2 linked regions of the Tribolium castaneum genome follow. The protein of the gene in region 1 purifies or fractionates together with the protein of each later gene. This does not show direct contact. Links are inferred from orthologs where the notes say so. Each region holds a gene or a part of one and is shown on either strand. Other genes may lie near its edges.

The links.
Region 2: the proteins of fand (region 1) and RNA helicase aquarius fractionate together in Homo sapiens (co-fractionation; 3 studies listed by BioGRID and IntAct, with this or other methods). This does not show direct contact. The link is inferred for Tribolium castaneum from reciprocal best matches to the Homo sapiens genes XAB2 and AQR.

Annotation. Positions count from the first base shown.
Region 1 is NC_087398.1:14,035,730-14,043,999, reverse strand, and holds the start of fand (pre-mRNA-splicing factor syf1 homolog), read left to right. Parts: upstream 1-3,517; 5' UTR 3,518-3,638; coding exon 3,639-3,692; intron 3,693-3,741; coding exon 3,742-4,798; intron 4,799-8,270. Other genes in the region: nucleoporin Nup43, read left to right, coding at 1-384, 2,941-3,299. UniProt on the Homo sapiens protein: Involved in pre-mRNA splicing as component of the spliceosome. Involved in transcription-coupled repair (TCR), transcription and pre-mRNA splicing.
Region 2 is NC_087396.1:23,734,130-23,742,083, reverse strand, and holds the start of RNA helicase aquarius, read right to left. Parts: upstream 5,099-7,954; 5' UTR 4,970-5,098; coding exon 4,901-4,969; intron 4,849-4,900; coding exon 4,748-4,848; intron 4,698-4,747; coding exon 3,989-4,697; intron 3,988-3,988; exon of another isoform or gene 3,880-3,987; coding exon of another isoform or gene 3,600-3,879; intron 3,552-3,599; coding exon of another isoform or gene 3,416-3,551; intron 3,256-3,415; coding exon of another isoform or gene 3,092-3,255; intron 3,036-3,091; coding exon of another isoform or gene 2,665-3,035; intron 2,621-2,664; coding exon of another isoform or gene 2,413-2,620; intron 2,368-2,412; coding exon of another isoform or gene 2,159-2,367; exon of another isoform or gene 2,023-2,158; intron 1,951-2,022; exon of another isoform or gene 1,683-1,950; intron 1,119-1,682; exon of another isoform or gene 853-1,118; coding exon of another isoform or gene 645-852; intron 598-644; coding exon of another isoform or gene 351-597; intron 298-350; coding exon of another isoform or gene 134-297; intron 83-133; coding exon of another isoform or gene 1-82. Other genes in the region: probable G-protein coupled receptor Mth-like 1, read left to right, coding at 1-82, 134-297, 351-597, 645-852; mthl5 (probable G-protein coupled receptor Mth-like 5), read left to right, coding at 2,159-2,367, 2,413-2,620, 2,665-3,035, 3,092-3,255, 3,416-3,551, 3,600-3,879; uncharacterized protein LOC659930, read left to right, coding at 6,325-6,798.

The sequences.
Region 1 (8,270 bases):
CCTTAATTGAGAGAAAAATTTACTGGGAGGGAGTTCACAAATTTCCCAATGGGGAGAATTGCCCTTGCACTGCCTTTTGCACCTACGACAACGATATTGTGAGCGTTGGCGAAGACGGTTCTATCAATTTGTTAAATGCCCAAAACCAAAACGTTATCCGCACAATTGAAAACGCCGATAGTTGCTCAATTCGTTGTGTGGCTTTTCTGAAGCATAGCGAAATTTTGACCGGTAATTTTCGTGGACAATTGAAGATTTTCGATATTCGGGCCCCTAAAAGCCAACCCGCGACCACTTTCATGTTGAGTGGGGATCAAATCTCGCCATTGTGTCTCCAAAACCACCCTACACAGAGGCATTTGGTGGTAGCTGGCGATGAAGAAGGTACCTATTTTTTTTTTATTTATGTTGGCAAACGCCAAAAATGGTGCCAACTTAAAGGTATTGGCAACTTTCTTTTAAATGATACCAAAATAGTTATTTACATTATACGTGCGGTAGGTATAATTTTACAGCGTGAAGTTTTAATAAAATTGAACGCTGTAAAATGAGTCGTCTAGTTCCAAAACCTGCCGTCTCTATTCAGTATTTTTGTTTAATGTTTAATACAAATGCTGTTGAACAAATAAATTTTAAATTACACTGATATAAAACCTCTTAGAGAGTAGAATTCGATGACCTATACTTTAATTACAATGTTTGAATTTAAAGCCTGCATTTTTTTTAAGGTTGGAGGTGGCAAGTTTTGGAACAAGTTGGAGAGGAGATGGGCGGTTATGGAACAAAATGTCTTTTAAAAATCCTTTTTTTAAGACTAGATAGTGAAATGGAATAAAAAAACTCAAACTACGTATTTGCTGAAATAACATGTGGCTAAAGTTTTAAGTCTTTTAAGGCAAACACATAACTCCAAAAAACAACGCGGAGATAGTTGATTTTGGAACGCATATATAAGATTACTTTACGTAAAGAAATGACATTGATATTTCAAACTTTAATGCAGTTGATGTTAATAACTATTTTTTGTTAGTATTTAGTCCGCCAGATAATTGTGCTAAATCCACATTATCATTAGTACGCAAAAAAATCAACGATAATGGTTCCTTTCGTCTTCAGCTTGCTGCTGTTGATGAAGTTTATGAAATAGTTATAGTGTTGACGAAAATATTTTTATTTTTGATGTTGTGTATAGTTCTGCGTAACTGGCTATGTCTATACCATAAACCAATGAAAACTTCCACAAAACCGCATCAATTATTTTGGGCATCTTCTTAGTACCTGCAAGAGGCTCATTATCTTTTAGGATTCCTTCTTGTAAACAACAATGATCAAAATAATAACTGCAATTGTGGGGTAAGTTTTTGTTGGTTTGCGGTTGACATAGCAAGTAATGTGAGAACTATAAGTATATACCCTATATATACTCAAAATTGACGCCCATGCTTTTAGGATTTGCTTCAGAAGACTAAAACAAATCGAAAGTTAAGAGTGAAAAATTGTCCAATTGTCCTTCGTTATCGAGTTATTGATAAGTATCTAAAATTTAAAATTTGTACATTAAATTTTATTAAAAGCGAATTTACCAAATTTGTTGTCACAAAGTATGCTATAATGCGATTTGGAAACTTTTCCGTGTAGGCCCTAGTCTCAGCAGTGGCATTGCCATCATACAAACATCTTACTTATAACCGAGCTTTTAACATATCGTCAAAATTTCGAATACACTAATAAAGTGGTATCTTATCATTTAACACATACAAAAACGAAGGAAATTAATAATACTCTTTACTAGACACAGTTATTCAAAGAATTTTAATATCGCTAACATCAACTAATCAATTATGTTGCACAAATAATTGGAAAGACAGCTAAAGCTTATTATTTACATTTTTATCAATAACTCTAAAACGAACAATTGGAAAATTTTTTACTCTTAACTTTCGATTTGTATTAATACCCTAAATCAAACTGCCATAGCACAGGCGTCAATTTTGAGACTTTTACTTGTTAGAACGTAATCTATTCAACATTTTTCAAACGAGCGTAAATGGTTGGCTTGGTTAAACGAAACTGATCGAAGAAATTTACATCACTAACAATTTCAAAATAATTTTTCTTTTTCTATAAATTTTTTGTCTTCGCAGTTCGGAAGAAGATAATGAATTAGAAGAAAAAATGAACACTTTCTTAATTTTGTGCAATTCAAAAAACTGACAAATTTAACGTTTGTTAAAGTTGCTTTTGTAATTTGCCGCCGTCTTTACGTCTTTACCTAATCATTATTTGACGAAATATTTTACGAAAATTTTTAGGTTGAAACGCATTTTAAAAATTGAAGTCACTTTTAAAAGTTTAAGTTACTTTAAAATGATTTATGAAACGATCCTACTTCAAGTTATTTCGATATAAATTTGGGATTATGACGTCATAACCGTCTCTCGAGCATTATTTGGTCCAATTTTAAGATCAAATAGTTTTTGATCACTGCCAAAGAATATCGAAATGAAGACACAATTTCTGAGATATTTTCGCAAAGTGCAAGACAAAATTTAGAACAGGTAGGAGTTTGGAAAGTAGTTATTTTTTTGATTTTGTAGAAGATATGTGAAAAATATGTGATTAATAAAAGGTTTCTGTGATGAGAGGCGGTTGTGACGTTAAGGCTTCACTTATTTTTTGCTGCAGAAAATTTTGAAAAAAGTCTCTATAGTTCCAATTTCCGTTAAAAGATAAATTAGGTAAAATACAATGTGTTCAAAAATGGTGGTTCATCAAGTTAACTATTTTAAATTTAAATTAAGCGGCACATTACGTTCAAATTTCATATGTGACTTGATGAACGAAGTTTTTTGAGCACATTTTATAAGTTGCCACTGCCTTCAATTTTAGTCATAGACCACTCTGATCAGAATTCGAAATATGTTATTTACTCCGTTTCAGGTTCGATAACGATATGGGATTTGCGCCAAAACACATATCCTGTGAATGTGTTGGATGCTCATGAGGGAGGCGTTATGGAAATACACTTCCATCCAGATCATCCTGACCAGCTATTCACTTGTTCCACTGATGGGGATGTTTGGCATTGGTCGCCTAAATGTGGCAGTGCCTCTAGTTTGCTGAATGGGGAGAATGTTTGGTTGGCATCCGAGGCTATCAAAAATAAGTTGGATGTTTTTACGCTCATGCCTAAATTGCACAAACCAATCAATAGTCTGGATGTTAACAGAAATAAGGTTCTTTGTGGGTGCGATAACGAGGCGGTTTATTTAATCAATGGAGTTAATGTTTTTAAGTAATTGTTTTGTACAAAGTTTCTAATAAAAAGTTGAACCACTATTTGGTTGTTGGCATATACGTGATAGCTGGAGGTCGTTATAATGGGTTCGTTATAACCAGACTCTACTGTATTATATCTTTGTTGATCATATCATCAGCATTTTACTAAGGTGTTTTAGGTTAAAACTTAGAAATAAGAGCAATATATACTACCACTTGTTAAAAAACACCACAATTTCACATTTTGTATATTTTTAATTTCGCATTTGTTGGAATTCGCTTTTGACCGACAATAATAACTAACCTCATCTACTTAACCTAACATTTCTCAACGTTATATTTTCGTTCAAAGCGCCGCAATGCCTGTCTCTAGCGATGTTGTTCGTAAAGAAACCCCCATGGAAATTATATTTGTACGTATCCCGTTTCAAAATTAGTCCAAAATAACTGCGAAAATTCCAGACAGACGAAGACCTCCCTTACGAAGAAGAGATCCTCCGCAACCCCTACTCTGTGAAGCACTGGCTGCGCTACATTGAGCACAAGAAGAAGGCCCCGAAGCACGGCGTTAACATAATTTACGAGCGGGCCCTTAAAGAGCTCCCCGGCTCTTACAAACTTTGGTACAACTACTTACGCACTCGCCGCCTCCAGGTGAAAAACCGCTGCATCACAGACCCCGCATTCGAGGAAGTCAACAACGCTTTTGAGCGCTCCCTTGTTTTCATGCACAAAATGCCGCGAATTTGGATGGATTATTGCAGTTTCCTGACCGATCAGTGCAAGATAACGCGGACTCGGAAGGTTTTCGACCGGGCTTTGAGGGCGCTCCCGGTGACCCAACACCACCGGATTTGGCCCCTTTACCTCACATTCGTCAAAAAGCACGACATTTCCGAGACCGCTGTGCGCATTTTTCGCCGGTATTTGAAGCTCAGTCCGGAGAATGCGGAGGAATACGTTGAGTATTTGACCGAAGTTGGGCGTTTGGACGAAGCCGCCGTTGTGTTGGCTAAGATTGTCAATGATGAGAATTTCGTGTCACAGCACGGGAAGTCCAAACACCAGCTCTGGAACGAGTTGTGCGAGTTGATTTCGAAAAATCCCGAAGAGGTGCATTCGTTGAATGTTGATGCGATTATCAGGGGCGGCTTGAGGCGGTACACTGATCAGTTGGGGCATTTGTGGAACTCTCTGGCTACGTATTATGTCAGGAGCGGGTTGTTTGAACGGGCGCGGGATATTTACGAGGAGGCGATTCAGACGGTTACAACTGTGCGGGATTTTACGCAAGTCTTTGACGCCTATGCACAGTTTGAGGAGTTGACGTTGAGTAAACGGATGGAGGAGGTGGCGCAAAAGCCCAATCAGACTGAAGATGATGATATTGAGTTGGAGTTGAGGCTGGCGAGGTTTGAGAATTTGATGGAGAGGAGGCTGTTGCTGTTGAATTCGGTTCTCTTGAGGCAGAATCCGCATAATGTGCAGGAGTGGCACAAGCGAGTGCAGCTGTATGAAGGTACGTTTGTAAATTAATATCATACAATTTTACTCGTATTTATTACTAAAATATCGGAAATTTTACCTTGTAAAAGTTGTACGATTTATGGTCACTTGTCTTTGAAAGTAATAGAAATTTAATTGTATTTTTCTCAATTTTTATGAATCGAAGATCGTCGATGTCACATGCAATTGTAAGCAGTTTAAAACTTGCATATATATCGGGCACTTGCTCATCTACCATTATTTATCTACTGCCTGTTTTATTGTAAAAAAAACCTATACGGACTCTTCAAATACATACAGGGCGTCTCAAAAATGGCGAATTCCGAGTTTATAGCATTGTAGAGAATCACTTCAGTAGTCCAAATGTAGAAAAAAAAGTTTTGGGTCTTCCCCACTTCTAATTAATAAAAAATTAAAAAACATTCTAAGGGTGGATAATCGTCGGCTAACTTTATCCTGGGGAGAAATTTTAAAAAATACATTGTTGTAACAATTGTGACCATAGTAATTATACCAAAAATACCATATCCGGAGTTTATTTCACGATTGTAAAATCCACCCCAAAATGGATTGAATTTAAAAAAAAAAAGACTTTTCAACTTAGTTGATTTAAGAAGAGAATAATTTAATTTTGGCTACTACAGTGATTTTTCAGCTTATTTTGATAAAACTGGATTCTAACAAGTATATTTTTACTGTACAGGGTAGTGCAATTTGGAAGAGGTTTTTAGAAAACAACGAGTGACACATTCTCAAATCCGTTTTTTTGAGAAAATAAAATTGATAAAATCCGCATCCCGCTATCGTCTTTTGTTTTAGACTTATAATTATAAACAAAACAATCTTAAAAAATTCATACAGGGTGGCTCTGGGGTGCGTAATCGGTCTATAAATTTTTTATTATTTGAAATATTGCCATGTTGTTTTCACTGTCCGATAGATCGACTTAAAGTCCACAAACTAAAAATAATTTTATTGTACACACGGTGTTGTATACAGGGTGGTGAACCAAAGTTACATTTTTTTAAATGAAACATCCTACATATTTTTGCACAATTGGATGCTACGCAAAAAAATGTAACTTTATATAAACTATAATGAGTCTATCTTTTTTTGTTTCGGAATTATTCAACTTTTCGGTACCAATTTTTGAAAAATCACTGCGAAGTAGTGCGAAGTCGCCTATGAATAATTTTCGAAAAATTTGTAATAGAAAAACTCAGAATACCTTGTAGTTTTAGCAAATAGACGACTTTTAGTTAAAGCACATAGATTATATACAGAGTGTGCCAAAACGCAAAAAGTTGAATAACTCATTTTTGTCAAATGGAACACCAAATATTTATTTACACTAACGATAACATTTTTCATAAGCTTTCTAATGATATGCGGATTGTATAGCAAAGGACTAGGCACACTTCTTATGGGAATTTAAGGACCACTCAAATTGAGTAATTTTTATATTTATATTTTTTAGTGTTCAAAAAATTTTTTTTTTTTTTATTTATTTTATTATTAATTTTTGATGAGCCAAATTGATTTATGTATCAAGTAATAATTAGATTACTAATAGTTACTAATTACTAATAAGTAATAATTAGTCACATTAGTACATAGCAAAAAATAAATAATCATTTAACTTAACAGGATAACAAATTTTATTGTAATAAAATAATTTTTTTGAAAAATTTCGAAAAATATTTTAAAATTGCTATGAAGATTCCATATCGTTAAAAAGCATATCAAAAATGCTATGGATTCATGAAAAAAAATACAGTGTTCCATTTGAAAAAAAATGACTTTTTCAATTTTTTGCCTTTCGGCACACTCACAGGTATTCTAAATTTTTGTTACAAATTTACCGGAAAATATTAATCGGCGACTTTGCAGTGATTTTTTAAAAATTGTTTTTTTTTATAACGAAATGTAAAATAATTCCAAAACGAAAAAAGATAGATCCAAAATAGTTTATATAAAGTTAAAGTTTTTTGCGTAGATTATGAAAAATATATTACCCAACAAGTATATTTATAATTTAATGATGTTTTTAACACTAAATAATCTAAAAACAGTATAATAAATTTATTAAATGTTATGAAGACTGTGCTAAAAGACTGAAAAGTTTTCTCTAATAAAACAACTAACAGAATGCCTTTTTTTGCAACTAAGCCGTTAAACGTTGAAACCAAATATTTTAGGGAGTAAAATGCAAAATCATTATTGGGAGCTATTACATACATAATACTTAAGATTTTATTTATTTATTGTTGGAATTCACAAACTGACTTTGTCTTGATTTCTTGCGGACCATTCCCGAATTTTGCTTTTACACTCTTCACTCAACGGATTGCCACTTAAATAAGTGGCTTTTTTGGCTTTAAAAATTTTATCTAAATCACCGTCCAGACACGTAATCTTGTTATATGCAAGGTTGAGAGCCCGGATAAATTCAGCATCTGCAAGATAATCCTCATGCCATTGTTCTATTTCATTCTGAGACAGATCCAAGGTATCGACTAGTTTCCATCCTTTGAAATTTTCAGCTGTAATTTTCTTAATTTTGTTGCTGTTTAACTTAACCCACTGTTCTTTTTGGTTGTAAATATTTTTAAATGCTTGGACTGGAAGTTGCTCGATGAGATTATTGGAAAGAAATAGGCGATAGATGTTCGGACAATTACGCAACCAGTTGTTGTTATATTGCGCCAATTTATTACTCGACAAAATTAAATTTGCCAGGTTGGGCATGTTGTTGAATGCATCTGGTGCAATGTGGGAAATTTCGTTATTGGCTAGCTCTATGTGAAGCAAAGTTTTGTTATTGAAGATGCCAGCAGGAATTGTTTTTAAGTGGTTTCGATTTAGGTAAATTCCCTGTAAATTTGGCATTCGGCCCATGAAATTTTCTGGAACGGTTTTCAGTAAATTACCATCCAAATATAGGTAACGTATTGACGAGCTGTCGAAAATTTCTTCCTTGATTGTGGTGAATTTATTATTGCTTAACGAAACAATCGTGAGATGGGGTAAATGTTTGAAAATTCCGAGTGGAAGATCTGAGAGTAAATTTTGAAATAAATCCAACGTTTCCAAGTTTGGAAGATGGTCAAAAGCACTTTCTTCAATAGTTTCGATTAAATTACCGGCAAAGCTCAGTCCTTTCAAATTGGGATTTTTCACAACTCCTTTTGGGATTACCGAGATTTGGTTGTTATTTAAGTTGAGCTGCTCTAAAGTGAGATTATCAAAAACTCCAGCGATGGTTGTGATGTTGCTTCCATTAATTTTCAATGTTTTCACACTGTTTAAATTTTTGAACGCACCTGGACGTATTTCAACGATTTGATTTTTGAGGAATTGAAGTTCCTTCACATTTTCAACGTTTGTGACGGAATTTTCATGTAAAATTGGTATTGTTCCGATTACAATAATTGTCGAAGTCCACTTTTTAGGTAAATAAGTCCCGAGATTGTTTGCGGAATCGA
Region 2 (7,954 bases), on another chromosome or scaffold:
TGGCCTATATTATCTACTTCTCAATGCTATATTCATTTTTTTGGCTAAATGTTTTGTCCTTTCACATTTGGAGAGTTATCGTGTAAGTGTAAAAAGCAAGACAAAAACACTTTTTATTTATTTTTTGCAACAGAAAGCCCCGTTTTCTCCAAATATTGTCCCCTTATTGGCACTACATTTACTGTGGTTTTGGCTGTGGAGGACCCACTTTTTTGACCATCATCCTCTCAATTGCTCAGTCAATGAACGAGTCAGATTCCCATCCAGGGTTTGGAGAAACAAAATGCTGGTTTAAATGTAAATTTAAAAACACTAACGTTACAATAATAATTAAAATAACGTAATTGTAGCCACAAAAACCCAATTTCTTTACTTTTACACACCCATGGCCGTGCTATTGTGCCTGAACCTCCTCTACTACGGCTCAACAATCGCAACTTTGTGGCGGAGCTTGAAGACAGTGGATGAAAAGAAAGACAAAGTGTTAAAGTACAGATTGCTTCTTTGTGTGAAATTGTTCTTCATAATGGGCATCTCTTGGATCTTTGAGTTATTGTCAGCCGCTTTCCAAGAGAGCAATCCCCTTCAAGTCATATGGTAAATGACCAATTGAAAAACTAGGAGTTCATTGAGGTAATTTGTAGGCACGTGACAGACGTTCTCAACACCTTACAAGGAATCCTGATATTCCTCATTCTGGTGGTATTCAGAAAACGAGTCGTTCGTGGATTAGCAGATCGGAGTTTTTGTGGAATACGATTGCCAGGGCGGTGGCGAGGTGCCGCCGATGACGAATGTGGAGAAATCGAAGAAGAATTGAACTTATCAGAAACACACGTCCAGAAAAACTAATCGCGTGTGTTACTCCATCAGTGGAAGAGTTTAGTGAAGGTCTTTGGGCCAAGGAACAAGACAAAATGTACATAAGACAACGAAAATTAAACATAAACTATTTTTAGCTAATTTTATTTTTACGCAAAACTGGGAACCGATTTACAAATTTTCGTAATCACAGTAGACTTCTATTCGCAATGAAGATGCAACTTTGAAGACTGGATGAGATCGAGTGAAATATTTCTCATACCGAATTATCCTTTAATAAATTTTTTGTTCCCCCAGCTATTTTTTTTGCTGAATTTTTTGTTCCCACAAAGTTTTTTTACTCCATTTTTTATTATCGTAAGTCATTCTTCTTTGCTTCATTTTTTCTCCACATAAGCTTTGTTTTTGTTCAATTTTTTGTTACTGCAATTTTTTTTGTTCTGGCACATATTTTTATTGCATTTTTTGTTCCCACAAAACCGATTTACTTTTAAATGCTTTATTGCTTAATAAAGAATGACCTTACTATACCATTTTTTAATGCAATGATACATCATAACAATAAACTCTTTATCTTATAATGCAATTAATTAAAAAGTAATCAAATTACTTAATTGATAACAAGTTATTTGTCCCTCCATTCTTTGTTACCATTTTTTCTTGTTCTTTTATCGCCGTAATCAATTTTCTGCTGCATTTTTTGTTCGTGGAAATATTGTAGCATTTTTGTTTCCACAAGCTATTTTTGCTGCACTTTTTATTCCCGCAGATATTTTTATCCCCAGAAGATATTTTTTTGCTCCTTTTTTTGTTATCGCAAGCTTTTTTTGCTTAATTTTTTGTTCCCACAAGTTATTTTTGCTGTATTTATTTTACATTGGACTATTTAACTTTGAGTTAAAATACTTTGGACGATGTTTCTTTAGAAAGTGTTGACCATATGTTTGCCACGCCACTGTCCATTACTCATCCTTGAACACGATCTGTTGTCTCATTTAACAGACACAAAGACAGTGGGGGAAATTCGAATTGCGTGATTATGACGGAAATGTAGTATGATTTACCTCTACGTGCCTAGTCACCGACTAATACCAGAATTTCCGTTAAAAAAATTACCCAGACAAGGTGGTAAGTGATGCACGTACGCCCCTGACCCTACCTTTATTAACTAAAATATTTAAACTCTCTTACAAAAAACAGAAGCAAATTAACTTAAAAATACCCAAAATCGAATCAATGAAACCTTCAACAAATACCAACAAACGAGTGAGAGTTAAAACGCTTCGTAGTAAATGTTTGTGTGACATAACCTCAAACTACACATTTGAAAAATAACATGAATTTTATTTACATCCTCTTCGTTATCTCACAAGTCAAATCCGAACTCGCAAACACTTTAGAACCACTGATTGGTGTAAATAAATGTTGCGAAGAAAACGAATTCTATGAAGGGAAACACTGTACCAGGATAAATAAAACGGAACAACCATGGAAGCCCATGTTTTACAGCGAGGACGGCAAAACGAACATTCAAGTCAAATACAGGTAGGAAATACCAAATTGGTGTGACTCTTCAGTGATTTTTTCCAGACTGGTAACGGGTTTGCCAGACTGTGGGCCAAAGGCCCCCTGGCCCATCTACCACTACGAAAATTCAACCGACCGCCTTAGACTACTTTCAAACGGGGTTCTGAGGCATTATTTCGACCGTAATATTCCACATGAGGACGAATGGGACGGTGGTAGCAAAAATTCGCTATACCATGACTACGAACCTGGCAAATACTGTTTAGACAAGGTACAAATTATTAGATTAAACTTGTGCCCAATTTAATGTTTCAGAGAGTCGACGATAAACTTGTGAGTCAATTTGCTCGCGTTTGTGCCCCTGATCATCACACACATTGGACTGAAACGAAATTTTTAATGCGAAATATTGTATCGCCCATAACGCACTTTATTGGAATTGTGTGCCTTCTGATAATAGCCATCATCTACTTCATAATGCCAACTTTACGTGATCTTGTCGGTAACATTGTTACCACAATCAGCATGTGCCTTATTGTCAGCCAAGCCGCTGATTTAATCCGACTCTTGACGGTTTTTGATAGCCATATAAGCCTCATTATTAGCGATACCATTTGTTATTTCAGTCTACTGGGGGCGTTTTTCTGGCTAAATAGTTTGGGTTATTACATTTGGAAAACCTTCAAGTAATATTGATACGAACGGACGTTTCATAAATATGCAAATGTTGACGTCATTGCAGGTCAAGGAACGTTTTTCTGAGAATTACAGATGGGAAAAAATACTGTTATTATTCGATGTATTCATGGTCTTGCACGCTCTTGTTGGGCGTTTTGGCCGTTTTTGCCCATTTTACCATGGACTATCCCGAGGACAAACCGCAGCTTGAGCAAAAGGAAGAAATCGGTAAACATACAATAAAAAAATAAACTTTTTTTTCTACTGGATAATACTTCATGATCGTATAATTTTTAAAGATGCAAGATTATTTTAATTTTTAATTTGTTTGTGTGCGATTTTTTTCACTCTGTTTATAGCACTAAAATTTTGAAAACGTTTATTTCAGGATCCCTGGGGATAATCCTATTTTTCGTCCCCGTTGCCGCCACAATAATAATGGACATATTTTTCTTCGCCACAACATTAAAAATCATAAGCCGAATGCACACATACGGTCGCATCCACCATAAATTAACCCACAGGTAGACAGCAAAAACAATCTGCCAACTAAACTAAACCACTTTTTGCAGCTTTCGCATGTTTTTCTTATTATTGCTAATAATGACAATAACATGGCTGTTTTTCCTGATGTCATTTTTCAAATTCACTGGCCTAGTTAACTGTTACATAATATTGAATGCATTCCAAGGGCCTTTAATTTTATACGTTTGTATTTTCAACCAGAAACACGTCGGATATCTGGTACGCAAAACGTGTTGTTACGAAAATTGCTTTTGCAAGTGTTGTCGCACTGAACCTGAACCAGAATGGGGCGACGAAATGACAGCTATGAATACGGGAATCTATTAGGCAGCTGAACGACATTCCGTCCGTTTTATCCAATTTTGACATTATTTATGTATTTAATTTACATTATTGTGTACTTAATATTTATAATAAAAATGATTAAACGACTCACCTGGCTAAATAAGTGTCCCTCTGGCCGTTTAATGAGAGCTGAGAGTTGGCAACGCACCACCAAGTGACTGTCATCCAAGACAGTATTGAAGAATCTTCTAGTAGGAAGAAGAGCCTCCAAGTCAGTCACTAGTTCAAGAAATCGCTCACAGTAGTGGATTTTGTCAAGTGGACAAATCCCATCTTCTGTGATCGTATCCAGAATATTCAAAAATTTTAAAATGAGTTTGTGCAAAAAAGTCCGCTCCCAATTCAGTCTTTCTAACTCTTCTGGCTTATCTTTTTTCTGAATGGCTTTCCAATACTTTCGCCACTTTGGGTTTTTCTTAAACTCGTATTCACGACGCCCGGGTTGTAAAGACACCCACATTGAGAGCGAAACTAACCGCTTGACTTGATCCCTACAAAGCCCCTCTTCCATGCTATTGAAGCAATGATTGAGAAACACAAGCAGTGAAGTCTGCTCTCTTAAATTGATTAATAATTCGTCTTCTAACAATCCTTTAAGTACTTGTTGGAAAAAATCAGGAAAATGGGTGGGATTTTTCCGAAACGCTTGCCACACTTGCACCCGCTCCCTAAATTTCTCATTCACCATGTTCACAACGGACAACATGTGGGCATACGAAGCCCCCGGTTTGTAGTTGGGCCACAGATAATTCTCCAAGTATTGGCTGAACTCCAACACCATTATTCTACGAATCGAAAAACTGGAAAAAAATTGTCATAACCACACTTTAGCGGTGGATTGGTTTTTTACTTGCTACCGCGGATGTCTTGCAAGTATATGTCGTCCACGATTTGGGAGTCGAAGGGTTGCTGGTTTTGGGCGGAATGCGGGGCCCAGTATTTTTCGGCAAACTTTGGAAAATTGAAAGTAAACAAGGTTTCAGGTTAGGATGGGGTAACTCACTTCAGTGATTCGGTCGGCGTTAATTTGCTCCACGGTGGGAGCCACCACTTTCGTGGTGTTGTCGGCCATTCGGCTGGGGGCACACACCACGCAAAAATGGTTAATTAGTTAAAAACTTTAATTAAACAACGTTTGAAGAACGCTACCTCTACAAATTTCTGGGGATTTTTTACTTAATGTTTGTTGTGTTGGTGCAAGCGTGGCGCGGTTTGAATAAAAATTGAGAATCCAAAAAAAACGGGGAAGAAAATTTGACTGAGACAAAACTCGAATTCTTTGTTGCTGATCAAGAAATACTTGTTCGAAGTAAAGACCATATTAAGATTCGAGCTTTACAAAAATAAAATGCATTGTTTAGAAAGACCAGTTAATACAAATATTAGTTATAATCTAGCAAAACATTGTCAAAATAAAGTCATTTTTGACTTTCACGGGACGTTTTTCGTTCTCTTCAAGAAAAAAAACTTCTAAAATTTGCAAGTTTTTAACTATAAACCTGATGAATTAAATCGCAGAGAAATTCAATAATAAAATTAAGAAAATCAAAGTAAAACTTAAAGTATTTTTTTTAATAAATTTAAAAAACTCGAGAAATTTAGAGAAAATCATAAAAAAATAATTTAGTCATTTCTGGGCGTTTATTATTACTTCTTACCTCATTTTAAAACAAGCAATTATTTGCAAAAGAATTCTAGAAAATAATTACATTAGAAAAAAATAAAAAATTAAACTAAGCTCAATTTTAGTGGCCTTATTGCAACAGATTGTTTAAGAGTGTTTTTGCATTATTTTTATTGAAATAACATAAATCAAAAAACTTCGTATAATTATTCTGTATTTTAACATTTTTAACTAATTATTATGTATTTATTTCTAGGGATTACAAAAATTAGTATTTTACAGTAAATTCTGAATTCTGTGCGCAGTTTCTAAAATCAAGTATATATCTTGCTTAAATGTTAGGAAAAAATTGAGATAAAATATTATATTTTTATTAAATATGATGGTCATTCGAAGTTTAATTCTGTGTCTTCAGGGTTTTGTTAATTGTTAATTAATGGTAGTATTATGGCGTTGCCATAAATGTAAAAAAATAAAACACGTTCTTTGATATACTACTTTGTTTTATTTGGTTTTGATTTTGATAGTCAAATTCAAAAGCAAAAAAAGTCAATAAATTACAACTCGAATAATTTTGGTTTCCGAAATCGAAAATCCATCTCCTTGTCCCATCTCCTTCCACTCTTGCACCTCATCCTCTGATTGATGATTCAGTGTTCGAATTACCCAATCTTCAAGTGCATCAAGTGTTCCATTATCCGCGGCGCGCGTCTGCCTCTGAAACATTTCCTTCAGTCCGTTCGCGTCCGCTGCAGGAAGAAGCTCGCTTGCGTTTCCTCCTCGTCCGCGATGTGATTTCCGGAATGTCGGAATCAAACCCCAAACTCGACTCCGGCACCCGTTTGCCGCTCCACCACCGCAACCCCAGCTACACAATCCGCGTGATCTGCTGCGTCCTCTTCATCTTCATCACCGAGATCTGCCTGGCGCACTACATCTACCGACTGATCAACTCGGAAGTCCGCAGCGACTACGTCTCCAAAGAGGACTTCCGCCAGTTCTTCCTCAACGAGCTGCGCGCCGACCAGGCCAAGGACGAAATCGTGCGGATTCTCATCCTGCAGGAGCACCAGAAGGGCACCAGGAGGCGACGCGATGCCGACGATTACCAAATGCTCAACTCGCCGAGCGACGAGCCACACGTGGAGTTCTTCAGTCCGGAGATGAGGAGCACGCTGGAGAAGAAGGACGAGTTGATAAGGCAGCAGACGGGGAACAAGGGGGCGGCTCCTGGGGGCGATTCCTGGATCTGGCTCACGAGCTACAGCCGGATTCCGGTGAGTATTTAAAAAAGTGTTTTGTCTTCAAGTGCGCTCAAAGCTCAAAGAACGCTCGTTTCAAATATTTATAACACAATTCTGAACGCGCTCTCGGCCTCACTTTTCACCTTTTCACACACGTTGGACAAATTGAATTGTTACGTGAACAAGTTCGGAGTGTTGGATTTCGTCCCGATTTACTTTGTCCAATCAGACACAGTTTAATTACAGTTAATTATGTAACAAGAGTTGTCTGTAATTACATTCTTACGGAGATTTCCTTTACCAACGTCAAATGCAATTTTTCTGTTTCAATTTACTGGCTAATTCTGTCCACCAATAAACCAGCTACAATAAACTTCGAATCCTTTTCTTGAATTAAGAAACAAAATTTAACAATTAAGGCGTATAGCAAAAATATTTTATTCCTTATTTTTTAATGTATTCATTCAACTCTTCTTCTTCTTTGCTCCTCTGTTTTTTATTATTTACTTTCTTTTACATTGAATTTTTCAGTACTTTGTACAAATTTTGCTGTCAATTACAAGCTTGTTTCAGCATTTTTTTCTTTTCTTCTGTTATCATTCGTTTCACTTTTATACGTTCTTATTCTTCATAAGTTCTTCGTTTGGTGGCCAAAGATTATTGGCACTTTTTCTTTACTTCCTTTTCATTAATAAATAATGTTTTTTCTTTACGTTTTCTTTTCGGTATCATATCTTAAAATTCCTCCTCCTTTAATTTCTTCAGGTAACCAATGTAATAGTACACCTACTACATGGAGCAAAACAAGTTTTGAGCAGTTTCCAGTTGATGTATCTACTTTGTTTTTATTACATTGGCAAAGTTTAACAGAATTATTTTACAAAAAGGAAAGGGTTAAGAGCTGTAAACTCTGTTGTCTGTTCGACGAAACTTTAAACTTTTTTCCCTTATTTAAATAAATTGTGTTTGTCCTCACAACACACGTCTGTTTAGAATTAATGTTCTACTTTTGCTGTGCAAAAAATGTGTGTTTGCTTAATCGGAATTAAACATGTAATTGTAACCGTGAAATTACAGATAAACGGATGTTTGTTTTAGAAAGAATCTAAACTGAAATTAAACTGCTCGCAAAATCATTGACGTATTTTATTGTTTGCGTAATAATGGTGGAGGCGCCGGGAGACAACTA